Linked DNA regions of Lonchura striata. The protein of the gene in region 2 purifies or fractionates together with the protein of the main gene of each other region. This does not show direct contact. Links are inferred from orthologs where the notes say so. Each region holds a gene or a part of one and is shown on either strand. Other genes may lie near its edges.

Region 1 (7,311 bases), on a different chromosome or scaffold from region 2:
AACTAACCTACATTTGGCTGGCCCCTGCCTTTTTCTTCCATCTCAATGGCCACAGAGACGCTTTATTCAAACTGATGAGAAGGCGCCTCTCTCCCTCCTTCAGAGGAAGACAACCCTTCCATCTCCCCTCAGAAGAAGACAGGGAGCCCCATTCCAACGCCCAGCTCATTCATTGCCTCCAAACAGGCTTTGCTGACAGCTCCAGATGAGCACGACAGACACATAAAACAAACCACAGAACTAAACTGATTTTTGCCTCAGCCCGAAGGTGCATCTTTGAACTTCCCGACAAGACGGAGAGAACTTCTTCTCTCAGAGAGCCCCTCCCTTCCCAAAGGGCTGTGATTTCTGACAGCACTCCCTGAGTAGTAGAGTAGTTTCCCTCTCTCCTGACCTATGGAAATAACTCCCCAAGGGTTTCTTCCCCTAGGTGTCCTCCTACCCAGTAGCTAGGTGGATGCCCTTTACTTTTATCAGGGAAAGCTGAAGGAGATAAGAGGGGATCAGTCAGTGACCCCTCCCAGGTTCCATCTACATTAAAGCCACAGTCCTGGGGACAGTGGGACAGGCAACACTGTGAGCTCTGCATCCAGCTTCACCCCAGTTGTGCCAGTCCTCCCTGTCCCTCTAATGCTGGGTAGAGGGACCCCTAACCCAGAGAGGCTCCAGAAAGCCCCTCACAGGAAAGCCTGCCACAAAGCACAGCCAAAGCTTCTTAGCAGGGCAAGGAGCTGCAACACCGTTTCCCAGAGAAAGATGTTACGGAGCTCCAGTGAACACAGACCACACTGCAAGGCTTTGAGAAGCTTAAGGGAGGATGGATGAGAATGATTTTTGTAATTGCTGTCTCCTAAAATGGTGTTATTCTCATTGTGATGAACAGATACCTCTGGAGGACCTCCTGGCTAAAGGAGGGATTATCTCACCATCCTTTTCCTCCCACTTCTTCTCAGACAACACAAAACCATCACTGCCAGGCCACTATGCCTGGTCTCTTCAATGCTTCAGTCTGCTTGCTGGCCAGGACCAAGCCCTCTCTCAATTCAAGCCAACTGATCACCTAATGCTTGGACTGGCATGTCACCACTCAGAGCTGGGAGTGCAGATGCATGTACCAAAGGGCAGAAATCTGAAACACCTCATCCTGCAGGCAGCAGGCAGGGGCAGAGGGCAGTGCTCACCTCACTGCCAGCCATGGTCTGAGCCTTCACTCTGAACCGCATTCATCGCTGCTGGGTCCAGCTCATCCGCGGGGAACAGCCCCTCGCTGAGCCCTGCAGCAGGGATGCAGGACCTGGGACATGCACAAGCCATGCTGTGACACATAACCCAGCTTCTGAAACACAAGCACGGCTCCCTTCTCGCACGACACTCCCCACCACAACATCACCTCTGATCTGCCATACCCTGCCCCAGGCTCAGACACATCACTGCATTTACTTCCACTTACACCCTGAGCTTGGTGCCCGGGGAAGATTTTGCACTCCTGCCTTGACTCCTCAGTTTTCCACCCAGCTGCACAGCATCCTTCACGAGGTCAGTTCTTCCCTGGAGCAGGCTGGCAGCACACGGGGCTCCTTTTCCAAAGATCTGAGGCCCAGCCAGAAGCAGCAGCTCATTCTCCCTCCGAGGGCATGGCTGTTTGCTGGGGAGCAGGAGGATGCCGAGGGCACAGCCGCTACCTCCAGGACAGCAGGCGGCAGGCCCAGAGCTGCTCGGCAGCTCAGCCTCCAGCCCCTGGCTCAGTGGCCAAGCCCCTTCTCCATGGTGGATGATTCCAGAGGCAGTGTTTAATCGCTGGCTTTGCAGGGTACACCAGCCATGTTGCAACAGCTCCCAGCAGCTCTCGCAGGCAGCGCTGCAATAGGAGGCAGCTGCCAAAGACCCGGAGCCACCAGCAACGGGGGTCCAGAAGCACAGCCCTTCAAATATTAATTGCCTGAGCACTACCTTTGCTCGACTGCACCCATCTGTTTCCTCTCAGGGACCCATGGGTTCCCCAGCCTCAGGGGCTGGGCCTGACAGAGGAGGGCATGATCTTAGCTGTGGTCCCAGGTGAGGACCATCCTCTCCTTTCCACCCAAAATCTCAGCACGCAAGGCAGCTGGTACCATTCCCCTTTTTTCAGGCAGCTCCCCCCAGCACCCCTGTGTGGCAGAGGCAAGCAGAGAGCAATGGCTGACGAGGGCACAGCTGCCAGGAGCAGCGAGCCTCCCCTTATGGCAAGTGAACACCGCACCTGCAGGCAGGGGCAGGGCTCCTCCCTTACCTACCCAGCACATCCGTGTGCCAGAGCTACCCTTAGCAGGCACCAGAGGCTCCAAAACCCACAGGCATCTCTGGCCTGGCCCACGCCATCGGAAGTCCCTGTGACAAGCCTCATTGGGTTTCAGAGGAGACACAGCCCCCTGCATCCCAAATCGATGGGAGCACTTGGTATTGCTAAGAGGATCAATTCTGGCACTCTCCCACCGTCTCACTTGGGGTTCCTGTTTCACAGGGGTAGCAAGGAAGCAGAAGCACCTGGGATTTCTAGGAAAGGGCTGGGAAAAGGCTTTTCTTGGGGAGGGGAGAGAGATGAAGCTTTTTTCTTCCATGAGGAAGAGGTGCTGGAAGAGGAGATGAGACAGGTAAGGAGGCGGGATGGGGTGCGAGGGGACACGAGGGCAAGCAGGGGGCTGGGAAGCTGCAGTGGTGTATGTGTGGGGTGAGGGCCAACATGGCTTGGGTGGGCGGGCTGAGCAGCCATGGGGGGCTGGAGCGATGTCTGCGGTGGGGTTCAGCGGTGGCTGGGGCGGGGGGCAGAAGGGATGGCCGGGCCGGGGGGCTGCGCGCCGAGGGGGCAGAAGCGCTGGAGGAGGCGGGGGCCGGCGCGACCGTGCGGGCGGGGGCTGCAGCAGATGGGGAGCGCTGCCCCGGGCAGGGGGCAGGGGCAGCCCCGAGAGGGTTCCGCGGGGGGACGGCGGCCGGTACCTGAAATTGGGGGGCGAGGCGAGGTGCAGCCCCAGGAAGGGTGAGGCGGGCGGGGATGCAGCTCCTTTCTCTCGCTCCGCCATTCTGTGGCTCTCTCCATGCAGGCGGAGGGCGGGCGGGAGGGAGGGAGGCAGGGAAGGAGGGATGAAGGGAGGGGGATGCTGGCGGTGCCGGCGGGGAGGGACATACCTGCCGCCGGGCGGGGGGAGCGGGGGCGCGGCCCGGAGGCTCCATCCCGCGGCTCCCGGCGGCAGCTGCAGGACAGGCACGGCACAGATGGAGGCGTCACCTCGCACCCCGACCCCGTCCGCTCCGCCCGGGCCACGGCGAACGCCGGCCCCGGCGGGACAGATGTGCCCGCAGCTGGAGGCTGCACCCTCAAGAGCAGGTGCGAGGGACGGCCGGGGGTCTCCCAAGGCTGGGAGGAGCAACCCCAGGAGCGGGGCCGGCTGGCCGAGTGGGCAGGCAGGAGCCCAGGGCGAGGGGCTGGACACAGGGGCCACTTGCAGGGGTCTCTTCGGCAGCGGGGAGGCGCCTGCAGGCAGCAGGAGCAGCAGGAGCAACCACGCTGCACTTTGGCACCCATGGCATATTTGCCGCACCTGGCAACAGGTCTGGCAGCCCCCGTATAGACCTATCCCTGCAGCAGGGCTGCAAGCACTGCAAAGGGAATTTAAAAAGCAGCATACACATACCTTCCACAGGGACAAAGCAGGGGGGGAAAAATGAATCTTAAGGATTCAGGCCTCTCCTAGAAAGGGCAAACCCATTTTTGTATCTAGCTATGTTCCAAGAAGCATTTTATCTTGGGTGGGTACTCATTGTTGCTACTCTTCCTTACCAGCCTGGGCAGGTTTCTCTTCCCTGCTCTTCTCCCCATGCTTTGCAAGCTCAGAAAACTGTGCTGTGGACAGAAGTGGACAGCATCAGTATTTTTAGATCTCAAGGCTACTTCTGTACCTGAACAGGAGAACTTTCCTTATTCCCTGCATGCCCACTGTGCTGCCAATCTGTGTCTCTGAGAGTCCTGGATGGCATGAGTGGCACTTCTTTAGCAGTTCAAACATCCAGTCCCATCAGTGTTTCTCACACCACAGAGCTGACTGCCATTGAGGTGATGTATTAGTTCTTGGCCAAGACCCAGGATGTCAGCTGCTCCTCCAGAGAAAAGCAGGCAGAGCCCTCCAAGGCATAAGTCCTGCTCTCTCTCAGGAGTCTTAGTCTCCTACCAGACAAACTGGAAAGAGATGTTATTCCTGGACTAGTGTGGAGACAAGCACACACCCCCGGGGTCACCATGTGCAGGTAACCCTGGGGCAGCCTCCTGAGGGCGATCTAAGTGTCCCCTTTGCTGTTTGGATACACAGACTGAACTGTATTACATGCAGGACCCAAGAGACTCACCAGCATTCGTTCCAGGAGCTTTGGGGGAGCTTTGATGTAGCTCCATCTCAAAGCATAAACCCCATCTACCAGAACTGATCTCAGCAGCATGGCTGTTATTTGGCCTCTGACCTGGGGCATAAGGTAAGGATGCTGCCTTGTCCCACAGCCAGATCACCATCACTGCAGCTCACCTTCTGCTTGATTGCCAAGCACCAAAAACTCACCCCTTAGTGACGTGACCTGTAGTCAGGTCACCATCCCTGACTCAGGCTGGCCTGGCAGGAGACCCAAATGGACCTTCCTACCTGCACTACTGTCAGTCAGGCCTATTCCTCGGATGCACAGTCGTGCACACGGCCCCTGGGAGAGTGCATGCACATCTGCTGCAAATTAGGAGATAGCACTTCCATCCCAGCAGTATCTGCCCACAAGGCATTTGCTGATTTTCCTCCTTCAAATTGTCCAATTGACCATCAGGTTCAGTCCAGACCAACTCAGCCTTAAAGGAAACCTGAGGAGAGGTTATGTGCTCAGAGAAGTTTTCCTGCTCCTCGTCCCCAGCTGAACCATCTGATCTCCACCCAGATGCAGCTGTGATACCAGACTCCTCTTTTTCCATCAGCCATCCTTCTTACTGTTCTTTCCCCCTCTGCCTCAAATGGCCACATTTCCAGCTCCACTTCTTCATATCTAGGTGTGTTTTCTATTATCAGACCTTTCAGCCAGCCCCACTTGAAGCCACTCCAGCTCCTTCCTTGTGCAGACAGAAGAGACATGGAAGAAGGGAATTTTCTCAAGCACCAGCACATGGAGCAGGCAGTTCTGCTAAAAATCCAAGGTTAGCCATTTCCAATCCTGAGCCACATCACCATCATTCCTGTGACAGGTAAAACAGGTATCATGGCCAGCACAGACGAGGAGCCTCAAACCCAATCTCTTCAGCTTTAATTTACATTATTCCACTCTGGCTAGAAAAAGCTGGACTGAGTTTACTGTCATTCTGGTTCATCATCTTTTAAGGCATATGCTGATGTTTTCAGAAGGTTTTTGCCATGTGTGAGCCACCCCAAGCACTGAAGTTTTATTTTTCCAAGACCAGAAGATCCTTGCCAGAAACAAGAGAACAATTTAGCAATACCATGAGCTGAGGCACTTCCTTCCTAGATAAGCCCCACTGCTGAACCTTCACAAGGAACTGCATGGCTACATGCACTTCCTAAGTCTTGCTGGTTACTAAGAAAATTAATGTACGTCATGGAACTCTTGCTAAGGTAGAGGTTCCAGCAAGTGCATCGACACAGAAGCACCAAGGAGGATGGCAGGATGCACAAGAACTTGACTCTGTCCTTGCTAATTAGATTGCTAAGTCTAGTGTATTTAATACAAGTTCATTACTTAGCTTAGAAGTCATTAGCCAAGGCTCCATCACTGACGGGAGACCCAAGCTGAACAACTGTTCACAGCTCCGTGGGACTTCTCTGCTCCAGTATCCATGTTTAGTTGAAAGCAGCCTTCACACCACCGTGGGGAGCATCCCAAAGCCACTGCTCTCAGAGCATCAAAAGGCAACTGCTCCCTCTGCCCAAGCAAAGAGCTCACACTACACCCGTGTTAGGGGTGCCTATGTCAGGTCAGGCATTGCCAGCTTGCCCTGAGACACAGAGAACAGAAACCCCTAAACTGGTGTCCATTTCATGCTATTTCTTTACAACAGCCTCCAGCAGTCCCCTGCTGCTTCTGAAACAAAGATGGTCTAATGGTTACTGATGGCTTTTTCTTTCCCCACAAACTGGCCAAATCTTTTTGAACTCAAACTGTTAGCACCCACAACTGAGGAAAAATGTGTCACAAAGCTAAGCAAGGCACAGACTTGTTCAATCTGCCATCTTGTACTTTAACCAAGCATGCCAAATTCTAAGTATCAATGAAAACAATGAACAGTCATTCCCTGCTTGTCACACAGTTTTACCCACCTGTATTATTTCAGCTGGGAAAAGATGCCAAAGTAGATGAATCCCAGCCTATTTACAAGGTTTCTTGAAAGAAGCTTTTCCGTTATCTTTAACTGGTCTGATGCGTGTCATTCCCAGTGCTACTACCTGAGCTGCAGCTCTTCCATATACTACCATCCATATCCCAGGTATTGACAGAAACCTTGCAAATGTGATCTCCCTTGCCTCCACAAAGCCTTCTAGATCACTGAGGAGATGTGGCCTCCCCTCCCTTTGACTCTTTACCCCCACAGATCCAGCCCCAAAAATTCCATTTACCAAATGAAATAATTTGGATGACAGCAAAAAGAGGGTTAAAGACATTTATAAAAAGTTTTATTTACAGACCATTGCCTAAGCATGAAACTCTCAAAATGACAGAAGTCACAATTTCTGTAACCTAGACAAAGTGCACATCTTTCCCCTTTCTTCTTTCTGCAGCAGAAGATGGGGGTAGGGGAGTATCTCTTTTTCTTTATACCCTTCTACCCCCAAGACAATGGGAGTAACAGCTGGGTTAGAGACAAGACCTGTTGATAACTGGGTTATCCACCAGGCAAACTACAAATAGTTTAGAATAAAGTAAGGTTAAGAAAAGTGACTCTTTGTTTACTTGTTCAGTCTGCCCAGTGGATTCTCTGCAGAAAAAGAACGTAAGATCAAAGCCCCAGGGAATGGGAAGGAAAGGTTCTTCAGCTATTCATTAAATTTATTCACAGACTCAATTCAACCACTTCAGGTTTCTCAGGTACATTTGACTCAGTTTCTACTTGCAACCCTGTTGCTCTGGGTTCAAACACAGGCTCCAAAACTGAATCTGATTATCCCAGTGGGAGACAACTCCTGTACTCCCCAAGCAGTTAGTTGCATAAGCTCACATATAGCCCCACACTATCTGTGTCAGGCAGGGATGAAAGGTTTTGGACAGCAAATGAAAACAGTGCCAACAGCAGCCCATTGC
Region 2 (7,340 bases):
CACATGTCTGGAAGGAGCTTTGGTAGGAACTTCTCAATATTCTTTGATATTATTTAAAATAATATTTTGTGGATTCTGCAAAATAGGTTATTTCTATTATTTCATTACAATTTAATTCTACTGCAATAAAACTATTTATAACTAGAAGTATTTAAACATACACATAAGGTGAACCTGGATGTGATACCACTTTCTTGTTTCTTTCACATAATAAACACGGTGTTTAATTAGTCTATTTAAAATCAGGAAACTAGCAATTTAAGTTGCTGACCCATTTGAAAACATCAGAAACAGTGTGCTGATGTTGAGAAGAGATGCTCATGCATGAAACTCATTAATTATGTTATGAACACTGGTAAAATGGACACATACCCATCACTCAGAGGAGTTTGGTGTGTTAAAGGTAGACTGCAGTAGCCAAGGTTGTGCTGGGTGTTTGGTTCCTAAAATTCCTTGTTGGTTACTCCATGTGCATGGGCGAGCTCTGCTGCTGGCCACAGCCTGCTACAAACCCCAGCAGCCACCCGTGTGCTTTCACTAATGCTTGATGCTGGGTACATGAATTTAAGTGGCAGCGGTACAGTCTGGGTGTTTTGATTTTTGTGGCTCTTGTTTCTCAGCTGATTTAGTAATAATTTGAGGCTTTTTTTTTTTTTCCTAGAAAATAAAAGAAATCACCTATATGCACTCAGAAGGTATCTTGGCTGGTGAGCTGAAACATGGGCCTTTGGCCCTAATAGATAAACAAATGCCTGTTATCATGGTGATCATGAAGGATCCTTGTTTCACCAAGTGCCAGAATGCTCTGCAACAGATCACTGCTCGGCAGGTAGTGTTCAACTAATTAACTTCTCCTGTGTCATAGGAAAAGAGATTGTGCCCACTGCACTGCTGCTGACTGTGCACCTGGAAAGGGATGTACTGCTGATTATTGTTAATTATTAAGTTATAAATAAGATGCTACATCTGCATTGAAGGTTTTTATTACAGGTTAATATCAGCAGTGAAAACTGCTTTCAGATGGCTTGTTTGTTTTGGGGTTTTTTTGTTTTGAAGCAAATGGAATAATGTTAAATCTCTACAGGGTGAAAACATTCAAATCTTACAATATAGGGAAAGTCAAGAGTCATTATGCAAGACTGGCATTGCCTTTGTTAGCTACTTGAATGTCTTCAAACACATACAGGCATGCTGTGAACAATATTTCAAAGCAATTCTAGGCTAGCTCTTCACTTAACAATGCAAAAATTTATTTTCAGGGTCGCCCAATCATTCTGTGTTCTAAAGAAGATACTGAAAGCTCAAAATTTGCCTACAAAACTATTGAGCTGCCTCATACAGTTGACTGCCTTCAAGGAGTGTTGAGTGTCATTCCTCTACAGTTACTTTCATTTCACCTGGCTGTTCTCAGAGGATATGATGTAAGTGTTTTCTATATTTAACACTTGTTTTAGTGCAGTTTTGAATTTCCTTCTACCAGTATAAATTGACAGACACAGTTATATGGCATATCTAAGATTTACTAGCTATGAAAACAGCTAGTGAATCTCATAGTGAGTGTGCTTATAGAGGTGACATTTCAGTGCCAATTCTTCCATTTTGTCTTTTTCAATTAGTATCCTTCTAAAAAATTGCAAAGCTCTTTAGCTGTTTGGTTAGTTAAGAGTGCAAATGGGACTTTTCCAGGGAACCTAATCTTGAAATGCGATATTGTACTTTAACTTAAAATAGGTCAGTGCTTTGTACACCTTGGTTTGTTGATGTGTCAGTTTGACAATGATGACTGCTTTGGAAAGGTATCCTATGCAAAACGAATATGTTTTTGTTAGGAGGGTTTTGGAAGCACAGATGAATTCAGCTGCAAGTCATTACCTGCAGATCAATAGCCTGCTGTGTGTGTTAATGTGTATAGAATCAAACAGAACTCATTAGGAAGTCAGAAAAATCACACTGAAGGAACTTTCAAATGCAGAATGCCAGTATTACTCTGTCATACTGAAAGACTGTCTCTTCATTCCAGGTGGACTTTCCAAGAAATTTGGCCAAATCTGTTACTGTAGAGTGACAGCCAAGAACAGCTGATGTCTTTGTCACCAGACCTCTGAGTTATACTTGTATAATGTGTTGTTCTGAATTGATAGGTAAATGTTTTTTCTAAAGAGAATGATAGTGCTAACTGGAAAGTGTCAGAAGGATTTATCTTGCAGCTTTAAAAGCTTTTGATGTGCCTTGTACCCAAGTGCTTTTGCTCCCACCAAATACTCCTCTAAGTCCTGAAATTACCAAAGAAGATAAAAGTTGTTTACACATGGTATACTGAATGAACTTTTTTACTGTGCAATATATATATATATATACAGCTCTCTCCAGAGTAACTGTGAACATTTTTTTAGCCCACACTACATAACTAGTTTCAAAGATATAGTATTTATAAGTACAATTTGTATAGCTTTTTTAAGTTATTTTTTTAGTACATTGCTTATCTGTAACATTGGTAATGCTCAGAATGTAAACACTGAGCGTGTTGATACTTCTGTACAGTTATTAGGGATTTTCCTCCTTCAGCCTCAAACTGGAAATTTGTTGTCCCCTCTTCTTTCCCAGCTTCCCTTCCCCCATTGAATCTGTGTTTCATATTTAAAAAGTCATTTGCAAAGTTCTTCTGTGGCTGTAAATTCCCAGCTATGTTTTCAATTTCTGCTTCTTTTAACTGTTCTGAAAAGTCAGAACGACATTTGTTTTGTATGCCACCCTAGCTTTTATTTGCATAACATGTATACTGCAACAGAATAAGGGAACTGGATGTCTCTCAAGTGATATTTTTGTTTGAAGAGGGTACAATGAAATGACAATGCAATTAAAAGATTATATAATTCTTCTTACTTTGTGGTTTGTTTCTTTGTGTGTGTATGTGTGTTTGGGTTTTTATTTATTTCATTTTTGTTTTTTTTTTAAACTTGATGACCTTTATCTCAAGTCTGAAGAAAGTCCTATTTTAGTAGCATATAGATGTGCAAAAACACACTGATAGTTGTGAACCAACTTGCAGTAGTGAAGAACCTATAAACCTGCAAAAAAAAAAAAAAGGCAGATACACACAATAAGTTCTCTGCTCATTTGTTTAGTTTTTATTTCTAAATGGCCAGAAGGCATAGTATTTAATTTTTCTTCATTTTATTAACTAAAATGTAAAGTTAGTTTAACAGTAAAGTTTATGATATTCCTCTGCAGGCTTGGCTCTAAATGGAAAAAGTGTTTGAATGTTTACTTAAGAGCTTGAAAGTGTTACACTAGCTTATTATAATAGGATATACTTTCCCTAGTACTTTTAATAACAATAATAAAACCAAAATCATAACAAAAAATATACTACTAATGTGACCTAAATGCCAAGAATATGTAACTCTGTATCTAACATGTTTTGGCATGAAAAGGCCTGTTTTACTCTTGATCTAGAAGTAATATTCTCTTCATATTAAAAAGTGGAACTATAAAGGCATATTGAGGTCATCTGGTCTATTTGTGACATTAAATTGATTTATTTAAAAAATTACAGGTACATTTTTCTAAAATCATCTGTGGGAACAGAAATCACAGAAATGAAAGCGCTCATCAGTCCTAGGAGAGGTGGCAAATTGAGTTTATTTTTAGGCAGCACCTGTTTTAAAAACAAGCACTCCTCGTGTCGGGGCGGGGGGTACGTAATGGAGAGAAGGCTTCTGATTTTTGCGTGGGGTTGAAAATAGCTCCGGGAGGGAATGAATCCCTTCCCTCCGGAGCCATCCCTCGGGAAAAGCTGAGGGGAGGCTGTGCTGCAGGGCTATGGCAGCCCCGGGGTCGGGCCTGCTGTGGTGCGCTGTGCCGGGGTGCCAGGTGCCACCGGGAATGTCACCGCTGCCACTGGGCCATGCCACCGCTGCCACCGGGAATGTCACCGCTGCCACCGGGAATGTCACCGCTGCCACCGGGCCATGCCACCGCTGCCACTCTGGGGTGCTTGTGCAGGGCAGGGTTCGCCTCAGCCACGGCTTCTGCCGGCCTGCCGGAGCAGTGAGGAGCCGGCAGCAGGATGGGCGCCACAGCACTGCTGTCAGGTGACATCACGACTATCGTGACAGGCTGACGTCAGGCGGTGACATAACTCCCGTGGCGCCATGACGTCATGCATGACATCATGGCAATCGAGAAACGGTGACATCACGCAGCGACACCCCGCCGGGGGCGGGGGCCGAACTGCCCCGTCACTGCGGTCCTTCAGCGCCCTGCCTTATATAGTGGTCAGTAAGATCCACCCCCAAGCGCGATTGGCTGAGCTTCTCCGGCGGGAGCTGCGATTGGCCGGGGCGGCTGTCAGTCAGGGGCGGCGCCGTGCGGAGCGCCGGGAGGCCATTGTGGCTGGGGCAGCGGGAGGCGGCGGCTGGGGCCGGTCCCGCCGCGTCCGACCCAGGTGAGGGGGCGGCCGCGAGGGGCGTGCTGGGGCGGCGGGGCCGGGGCGGGACGAGCCCTGCGCCGGACGGAGCGCTCGGCTCGTCCCGCGGCGCGGGCAGAGCCGGGGCGCCCCGCGGGCCGCTGCCCGGGCCCGGGCGCGCTGCAGGGACGCGGGGCAGCGGCAGGGCCGGGCCCTTCCTCCTGCGGCCGATCCCCGCCTTCCCCGAGCCGCAGGCCCGGCCCCGCGGGGCCGCCTCTGCCCGTCCTGCTGCCCCGTCCTCCGTGCCGTGCCCGGCTCGGCGGCCCCGGAGCCCCGTCCCGGAGCGCAGCAGCGCCGAGCGCCGCGGGTCCCGCGGCCGCGGCCAGCCCGGGCTCTCTGCAGCCGTAGCGATTTCTTAGCAGAAGTTTTAGGAAAGATGCGGGAAGAATCTTCCTGCTCGCTTCCTACATGAACGGCGAAATTGCTTGCAGCACATGCATGTTTAAACTTTTTCTCTCTTTACACCAGCTTGCCCTGGCAGAGTTCTGAGATCCTTTCAGTGCGTCTGTGTGTAATAGCTGAATGCTATTCACTGTAACAGGTAGTGGTGAAATCTTCGTTTGGCCAGTAGTAATGTGGGCTGCTTAAAGAAAAAGGTCTACTTTCCAAGAGTTTTCAGTTGCAAACTGTCTCTGAACTGCTGTAATCCTTGGGGGTTACCCAGCTAGTGCTTTGTTACACTTTCGTTCTAAAGAGTCAGTAGAGGAATGAGGTCTAGCTCACTGTGATTTTGTAGTTGGACTATTTCCTTTTGATATATACTGCTGTAAAAATTAAAAAAAAACCCTTGATGCTATTGGGTGATAAAACTTAAAAGGGCACACCTGAATTAGAAATGCTTTAGCAAAGGTCAATAAGAGAATGGGGGGAGATTTTTCCATATGTTTTCATAAATACACGTGTGTGTGTATATCTATTCATTGTGAATATTGTCAGCAGTAGAATTTTAGCTTGAGGCTTAAAAATCCAGGCAAGCTTCATGTTGTTCTTGTGTTTTGTTGTCAGTATAACATTTCTGTAACCAAAACAGCCCTGGGAATGTGTGCCCAGTCTGTTTCATAAACTTTTGACTTGAAGATATCCAGAGTACAAATCTGGTTAATAATAAATTGCCATTTTAATAAATACATTTTAGGGAAGTATCTGTTTAATGCAGGATGCATTCTGTAATGCAGTTGCTTCCAGCTTCTAAAGATTTCTCACTGCAATTGTGTATAAGCCTACTACTGGCAGGTTTGGTGTGTTGGTTATTTTTCTAGAAGGAGAATAACAGGTAAATACTAAGAAACTTATTTGACAGATATACTTCTTATTTGCACAGCAGGAAATCTATTTTTATTTGTGGGTCTTGCCCCCAGAATGGATTGTCTGAAGTGCTGTGAACAGCTACAATTGCATGGCAGCTAATTTTACAGTAGTGGGTACGTCTGAAGTAATATATGTCCTGATGCATTCCAGCCAACTTGAAGCCTGAGTGAAAGTCAAGACTCATGGAGAGCTGCTTTGCAAAGAGAATTGTAAATGTGTTCAAATACATAAAACTTGAGTGTTCTGATATCCCATTTCTCTCTTTGGGGCTTTTCTAAGGAGCTTATGCTCATCTCCAAGTGATTTTTGCAAGGTGGCTTTGTGCAGACAGTGATTCTTAAAGGGAAGAGTTTTTCAGGATCAGGATAATTTTGTTTTCCCATATTTCTTTGTCCCTGTTACAGAAATTTTTTTCATTAATTCCTGAAGAGGTACAGCATTGTTCTTGTGTAGCTAAGAAGTTGATATCCTGTAACTTGGTATCTGTACTTTTTTGGTTTTGTCTCTTAAGTCCTTGCAGAGGAGGATCTTGACCTTCCAGCTGTACTTTTCTTACAATATTGAAGATTCAGTGAAAATACCATAGGTGCCTAGGAACTATTAATCAAAACACTTGGTACCTCAGAGTGCATAGCTGTGGAGTAATGAAAAGGGTTGGAAGGAAGGGTGTGATGTACCAGGAAAGTCTGGGAGCTGCCCTTGAGGCATCCTGTGGTCTCATGTTAGTGCTAGCTGGCTGTGGAGCTGCATCTGACTGCCTCTAATATTATTGTGTAGGAGATACTGTTTTCTTCCTCCTTCTCCCTGTGACAGAGCAGAAAGTTGGTAGCCCACATTCTCCCTTTGCTGATCCTTTCTCCTCTGCTTTTTTCCTAAAGCTTCTAAGAGGAAATGTCAGGTAAACTGACTGTCTAAATTATTGCCGGAGATGACCCAGTTGAATGTCTGCCTCTTAAAATGCTGCAGAGATTTTGAGAAACTAGAAGGTAAAAGGGACTCTAGACATTTCTTGAGAATCTCTTAAAACTATTACAGTTTGGTTTAAACTCAGTCTTTATTAGGTCTTGGAGGTCTTCCTCGTATTTTACTGCAGATTCCTTGAGTTCATCAGCTCACTTAAAACATGGAAAAGATGCTGCTGCCTCCTACATGCACTGAGGAAGACAGAAATCCTAATTTTTGAAGGAACTAAGTGTTATTTGTGTGGCTTTGTGCCCTTCTAGGGTGGGTGTCTGGGTTGTCCTCGAGGCTTTTCTGTTTTGCATTGGCTCACAGATACTCGGTGGGGCCAGTGAAGAGAGCTCTTCCAGTAACCAAAGCAGACAGCACAGAGCACAGATGCTCCGGGGGAAGGGGCTGCTTGCATTTCCTGTTTTAAGGAACAAGTTTCAAGTGATTTGCCTGTGCAAATCACTCTGGGCTCTAATGGCACTATCTGTCATAGTGAATGCAAAATTATGAAGGGGAGAATTTGTTAGAGAGCTCTTCAGCAATTACTGAGGTAATTTACTTGTAAGGTTTGGAAGAGGGATGGACACCCAGGAAAACTGTTGGTCTGTGCTCT
Region 3 (6,923 bases), on a different chromosome or scaffold from region 2:
CTCAGGCTGTCATTTATCTTTCTCCTGTTTAATCACTGCTAACTGATTAACCAAATGAAGTGCCACAAAATCCATTAGCTGGAAAAGGAACAAGAAGCTGCACTAGCTTTTAGTAATAAAGAAAGAGAAACCTTTGTAAACAAGGTGCATGACCTTCTCTTGAAATTAGCCAGCTATTTCCTCTCCCTGGCCCCCAAGAACAGGAGCAGTGAGGGGTGACACACTTGCAGGCACTCCTGCCAGAAGTGAGGCTTGAACAGGTAGGACAGGGGGGAGTGTCAAAGTTCAAGGGCTGTTGCATAGCTGGTTGGATAGCCACCACAATATCTTTTGCCCTTGTTTTACCCCATATAGACACTTCTTATCTCATAAGCCTCATAAGGAGGCACAAGACAGGAATGTTAACCTTAACTCTTTCAGTACCATTTTCTCAAAAACAAACAGTGAACTTAGGCCAAAAAGTCCATCACCAGAAGTGTAGCAAAATACATTTCAGACTTGACAGACTTTAAAAACTTGGGAATGAGAGGTCAGCAGCCAGGGACACCAGCAAAGCCAGGCACTCTCTCTCCCAGATGGTTCAGGGGGTTGCCAAAGACACTCTCCTGGTTTGCACCTGCAGTTCAGATCATTTCCAGGAGCTTGCTGCACAAGTGGTAGAGAGGAATGAAAGGCTCTCAGAGGGGGAAAAAAAGAGTTAAGTGATGTTAAGACTCTGACATGCAAAGGCGTTTCTGCTCCTACAGAAGTGGCCCTGGCCAGCTGAGGGATGTCAGCTGCCAACACATTCACAGTTTGGCCACTGCAAACAGGAGGCAAAGGATACAGCTCCTACTCTCAGTGAAGAGAGGTCTGATGCTGCTGTCTTTGAGTCTTCCTGACTCCTGCTTTGTCTTCAGGTTAGCAATGAATCTGTCCAGTTTCACTCTGCAATGTTCTCCCAGATCAGATTTTTACCTCAAGCCTGGCTGAAAAGAAAAAGTTATTCTTAGTAATAATTTCAATGTGCAGGAATTAATTGTGATGCCACTGGTTTTGTCACATCTTTTATTACATTAGGAAAATAAAAATCCTGACTCTATACTGAAAAAGCTTTCATTTGCTGTTCTAGTACAAACTTTTCTGCATATATCTTTTTTTAGCTAAAAAGAAAAATATTTTCAAAATATCCCAAGTAATTCTTATTGTTACAGCTTTACAGTCAGGAATTTTTCACAGTCCCACAATTTAAACAAAACCTAAACCTGTTACATATGGTGCTAGTGAGTTGAGATGAGAAAAGGGAAGAGAGAATTGAAATGTCTTTCCTCCTCACCATGCAGCTCTCACCACTGCTCCCCACTTCTCTTTGTGAGGATAACCATGCTGGAACTATTTGTTCCTGCAATTTTCTGGAATGAAAGAGCTGGGGCACTGGCTGTCACCTCCAGTTTCTCTGGCACCCTCTCTGATCCCCTTTGTCAAAATGGGTCACTTCTAGCTCCATTAATCAGCAGTTAATTGTGCAGATTTTTAATGCTGTGGGCACTTTTGGGGTTTGAGAAAGGCATCTTTGGGACCACTGCTTTATTGAGACGGAAGGGCAAAACTGCTTTTCAGCTACTGGAAAAGGATACGTGCAAAACAGTGAACATCCCAATGTTAATTGCTTTACTATAATTTCTTCACTGCTTTTGATATTTTGTCTCTTCTGTGGAGCTTGGGCTTCTCTCTTGCCTGCATGCTCTGCACTCCCTCACACAGGAGTTCAGTACAGATGCCAACAAAGTGTTGTTATGAGATAGCTCACAACTCCTTAGCACGAGGGCATCATCAAGGTGGTTCTTGGTCAATATTGACAGCACAGAGCCCCCTCTCCCCCCATATAATGTATTGAGTTACCTTCTTCCTGAAACACCAAACACCCAAACCATTTTACTGTGAGCGACAGCTATGTGCTTTTCCAACGGCACTTTGGAAGAGACAGCCACCAAGAACATAAGGACCTATGCAGTTAATCCTCTTTCTCATGCTGTCTTCCAAGGGTTTCTGGCACAGGGATTCAAAACTGTCAGAGGTGATGGAGTTTGAATTCTGGTGTGCAAGCTGTCCTGCATGTCCTGCAGCGCCAGCAGGTAACGTGCCATCATAGTAATGATGCTTCTAAGGAAGAAAGAGGACCAGAAGATTCTGTCATGCCTGGAAGAGGGATGCACGACAGGTAGGACCCATGCAGCCCCTGAAGGATGTACTTTACCAGTTAGGCTTGGTAGTAGCCATAACAGATACATGTCAGGCAAAAGTAACATGTACTTGTGTGGATCTGCATAAATTTTCACTGTATGGCTTCAGATTTTTAAATTTATTTAAGGTTATTTAAAGGTCAAAGGCCCCCAGTGTTCCACATGACCCAGAGGGTGCTCTGCCCACCTCAGTGACAGGGGTTGGAACTGGATGACTTTAAGTTCCTTTCCCTTCCCTCAAACACTGTGGTTGTGTCATCCAGTAACACTACCACAGGAGGATGTGACCCTTCACACCCAGGTGGTTCTACACCGCAATGCACAGCGGCACACTGCAAAAGCAAAGGCCAGGGCGGTATTTACGGATGCCCCCTCAGCTGGTTCAGGGAGGAGAGGGCGAGGAGAGGGATGGCCGAGCGGACAAGGCTGCGGGCCCGAGGCGCTGCGAGGCGCCACCGGCCCGGCGGGCTCCGGGCCGAGCGGGGAAGGGGCGGCGGGCCGGGGGGGCCCTGTGGAGAAGCCGGAGCGGGGCGAGGGCCGCGGGGCGGCTCGGTTGAATCGCTCCGCGGCCGCGCTCCTCCCAGGGGCCGCGGCAGCCGGGCAGCAGGCTGCGGAAAGTGAGATAACCCCCATCCGGCCCCCGCCATCGCCTCCCGCCGCCGGGATCCTCTCTCACTGCTCCTCCTCTTTCTCCTTCACCCTCTCCCCCCACCTTCACCCTCCGGCTGAGTTCATTCACTGTGATTGGTTTCAAATGACGCCATCGCTTTATATTTACACCAATGACCTCATCCCAGCAGCTTGAAGTTTACGGACCAGCAAAACTCTTTTCTCTCGCTCGTTCCTCTCCTTGTGCTTGCTCTTCCCGAGTGTTTGTAGTCGCTTCTGTCATTCTGGGATCCTAAGGCTTAAAAACAAAACCAAACCAATAACCCCAAACACAAAGACCAAACGCGCGCACAAAAAACCCCAACCCCCCAAACTTTTTCCGTCCTCCCGAGCTTTTCTCTCTGTGTGTCCCCCTTATTACTGTCCCTTTTGAATTTTTTCAAGCCATCTTGGGGAAAGAGAGGGAAAAGAGAGTTCCAAAGCCCCAAATATTTCCTTTTTCTTCTCCTCTCCCCTCCCACTTTCACGCTTCCCACCCTTTAAAAAAAACAAAAAAACCCAATATATTTTTTCTTTTCTAATTTTTAAATTTGCTGGGGCTTGGTTGTTGTTTTTGGGAGGGCCTTTTTTTCTTTGGGTTCCCCCCCCCCCCCCCCCCCCCCCCCCCCCATTGAAGAAGTAGGAAAAAGAGGCACTTTCCCAGGGACTGGAAGAAGACAAAGTTGTTTCGGGCAGCAGCGGCGAGGCTGGTGGGCAATTGATTTTATCCTTGCCGAGGGGACAGGCAGCCAGACTGGCAGGGGTGACACAGTAAGTGCCGGAGCAGCGCAGGGGGACCCCGATCCAGGGCCGCACCGGGGAAGCCAAGCCGGGAGGGAGGCGAGGGGCGCGGGGGGGCCCGGCCGGGCCGGGCCGGGCTGGGCGGGGAGGAGGGGGAGGGAGGTGAGGGAGAGGCGGGCGGCGGGAGCCCTCCCTCCCTCCTCCCCATGCCCTTCCCCGCCGCCCCCTCACCTCCGGAGGAGAGCGCCCGCAGTGGACAGGTCGCTGCCCCGGCCCGGGCGGGCTCCGGCCGCCTCCGCAGGCGGTAAGAACGGGGGCCGGAGGGAGGGGGAACGGCACAGACACCGCACGGCACCGGCGGCCGCCCCGCGCTGCCCTCCCTACCTGCTGCCGGCACCCTGCTGCCCGCGGCGGCTCCTGCCCCCCGTCCCTTCCCTGTCCTCCTCCCGACATCCACCTGCCTCTCCCCGTGCGGGGAGGAAGCCGGGCGCCGCCGGAGCGCGGGGCGGGAGGAGGCGCCGCCGGGAGAAGCGATGGGAAGGAGCCCGCGGGGGGCTCGGCGCTGCCCGTGAGCCGCGGCGTGCGCGGCCACCCTGCTAGACTTAGCCTGGAGCGCTGGCTCCGAGCGCGCTGCGCAAAACGCTTAAGGATGCTTTAAAGCCCCGGAGGGCTCCCGAAGAAATGCTGAAGTTCTGCCTTCGCCTTGGAAAGCGTTTAAATTGAGGCGACTGACAAAATGGAGGGCTGCCGCGGCGTCCAGGAGGGAGGCAAATTGTTAACCTGGCATCGCGCTCGCCTGAGCTCCCAGCCCGGGGCTGGCGCCGGGAAGAGGCCTGACTGATCCCCGCTCCCGGCTTATGTGCCCCGACTCCGGCCCGGGATGCGGGGCTGAGCGCGCATCACCAGGTGTATAGGATGTGCCTATTGCCGAGCCTGACCAATAGCAGGATTTTTCAGCGGCTAAAAAACATTTGGTTGTATGCCAGATGAGAAGCTGGGATTTTTAATTTTTTTTTAAAAAAATATTTTAATTTTTATTTTTTAAGAAAAGGAAACCCAGGAGAATTTACCATCATTTCAGCTGGTTGAAATATAAAATAAATTTCTTTGGTTCTCCTTCAAATGAAGGGTGTAGTGATAGCGAGCTATATTGTCTGACCAATGACTAATTTTTCTGTTCAAACATTCAGTGTATACCTAGCAGAATAAATAGATCTGTTGTAGTTTTGAAACATAAAAGCAGATTGAACTGCTTCTCTTTGCAGGGACGTTTGTTGGGGTTCTTAAAAGAGAAAATCCCAACCAAAACCCAAGAATGATTTTGTAATCCTTGCTCTGAGATTTATGCTATTCCTGGAAGTGTGTGGTTTGTTAGATACAGAGTTTACAAAGTCACAACTGACCAAACAGGAGTTGGTTTAGACTCTTGTGTTTTGAGAGGAGGTGGAAAAATAGTAAGTCTTAATTTCTTTTTATAGTGTTCATCCCACTGCTCATTGGAGATTGAAACACAGTTGTTTATGTTGTCTGGGAGTTTCTGTTTGAATGTGGACCGAAGTATGCAGTAGGGAGGTGTACATGTATTTTTAGCTTTCATGTTTAATGACAAAAGATACAAAAAGTAAGGATATTCACAAGTAAATCTTGCATTTACTGAATATGGTCGTTAATATTTTGAGGATGGAATCTATAAGAAATATCTGAGTTGTAGTATGTTCCACTTGTTGTGCTTGTTTCATACAATAGTGCTTTAGTAAATCTTAACAGACAATTTAAAAGTCCCTTTTAGAATGAACAAATACCTAAAAACAGCAGAGAATGTGTCAATTCCTGTGCTACAGATGGTAGCTTCAAAATGCTTTGGTTTAATACATATGGGAAGGTCCAGAAAAACAAACCAAGCATTTAAAAATGTAACATGTTGTATGAAGATACCTGTTAGCTACACAAGCAGATGTAATGGAACAAAATCACACCAGAAAAGCTTCTGTAGAAGACAGCGGGCTCAGTTATCTTGGTTTCTGTAAAAATGCATGCTCCTCTTCTAGCAAGGACAGCTGGCTGGGCAGGGGTGTTTGTTTTTAGCTTGGCTTGACCATGGGGACGGTATCGGCAGAAGCTGTGCAGGAATGTGTTAAATGGATTTCTCTGGGAGCTGTCTCCCAAGCCAACCCCGGCGGGATGCCAGCCCTCAGCCCGTGGGAGGAGTAGTGGTTGTATCTGCCTTGTGCCTGTGTACCTTCCTTGGCAGATCGACTCTGCCAAGGAGCTCTGTGCTGCTGCTCATAGGGGCAGTGAAATCATATGGAGTCACTGGCAACTGGGTGTGAGATGGGCCAGTCGCTCCTCTGCCTATCAGATAAGAGATTCACATAAGCCTTCCAAAGCTCTCAGGGGCTACATTCAGGCTCTCTTTGTAAGGCCGCCCTTCATAAGAAATGTCATATAGACAAGTTAAGTGTTGATTTCTGTTACCTGTATTTATCTCCCAAGTGAGTTCTGTTCCAACACGTTGGGCAGTAAGAGGTGTGTGCAGGGTGAGGGCTTTGCTCCATCACCAGGGTTTTTAAAGTTCAATGCCATAATCCTCACACTGATTCAGCAATATTCGGTTCTCAAAATGCAATTTTGCTAAGAAATACAGTAAGTACAGCTGAAGTATTTTTTCCCCTAAAGAAAAAGGAGGCAGAAGGATGATAGCTTTCACTTTGTAGTATAACAGCTGAATTTTCTAGGACTTTTATTTCTTTTTCCTTTCTGTAGAAGCAGTCAGGAAAGCATCATTGATATTCTTCAAGTGCTGACAGTCTTTAATAGCCAGATGGCATAGAGTAGATACTGTCAAAGGATGAGGTATGGAAGGATTGACACATCCCTTCCTGTTTCTTTTCCATGTTTTTTCCAGCCTTTGAAAGAAACATGGTCTGTGACTCCACTGAATCTGCCCCTATGGATTTGTTGTTATGATAGTGACTAAATGCTTCTTGCAATCTTGTAGTATTTTGTGCATGGTTGTGTAATGCTGAATCCTTCATTATTTAAGAATTTTCAAGAAGCTGGTTTTCTTGGTAATAGGGAAGAAAGCGTGTCCCTAATGTGTCAAATGGTACATTCACTTTCCCTACAATTCCTTAGAGATGGTTTTCAGAATGAGTGTTGCAACATGGAAGATTTCTCTAGAATATTTTAAACTCTGATAAGTACAAATGAGTATTGCTAGTGTTTCTGTGGTTTATTTGTATCCTCCTCATAAACAAAGGGTAGTGTATTATCCTTTAGGGCTGCCAGTTGCATACATGGCCTCTACTTTCT

The links.
Region 1: the proteins of MAPK9 (region 2) and MAPK8IP1 purify together in Homo sapiens (affinity purification with western blotting; 4 studies listed by BioGRID and IntAct, counting the BioPlex papers as one, with this or other methods). This does not show direct contact. The link is inferred for Lonchura striata from reciprocal best matches to the Homo sapiens genes MAPK9 and MAPK8IP1.
Region 3: the proteins of MAPK9 (region 2) and DUSP16 purify together in Homo sapiens (affinity purification with mass spectrometry; 6 studies listed by BioGRID and IntAct, with this or other methods). This does not show direct contact. The link is inferred for Lonchura striata from reciprocal best matches to the Homo sapiens genes MAPK9 and DUSP16.

The regions. Positions count from the first base shown.
Region 1 is NC_134608.1:38,226,782-38,234,092, reverse strand, and holds the start of MAPK8IP1 (C-Jun-amino-terminal kinase-interacting protein 1), read right to left. Parts: upstream 3,089-7,311; 5' UTR 3,057-3,088; coding exon 2,974-3,056; intron 1-2,973. UniProt on the Homo sapiens protein: The JNK-interacting protein (JIP) group of scaffold proteins selectively mediates JNK signaling by aggregating specific components of the MAPK cascade to form a functional JNK signaling module. Required for JNK activation in response to excitotoxic stress.
Region 2 is NC_134617.1:7,228,152-7,235,491, forward strand, and holds the start of MAPK9 (mitogen-activated protein kinase 9), read left to right. Parts: upstream 1-4,322; 5' UTR 4,323-4,447; intron 4,448-7,340. Other genes in the region: GFPT2 (glutamine--fructose-6-phosphate aminotransferase [isomerizing] 2), read left to right, coding at 1-22, 662-829, 1,260-1,421, 2,021-2,065. UniProt on the Homo sapiens protein: Serine/threonine-protein kinase involved in various processes such as cell proliferation, differentiation, migration, transformation and programmed cell death.
Region 3 is NC_134607.1:10,378,226-10,385,148, reverse strand, and holds the start of DUSP16 (dual specificity protein phosphatase 16), read left to right. Parts: upstream 1-3,835; 5' UTR 3,836-3,915; intron 3,916-3,995; exon of another isoform or gene 3,996-4,218; intron 4,219-4,391; exon of another isoform or gene 4,392-4,512; intron 4,513-6,923. UniProt on the Homo sapiens protein: Dual specificity protein phosphatase involved in the inactivation of MAP kinases. Dephosphorylates MAPK10 bound to ARRB2.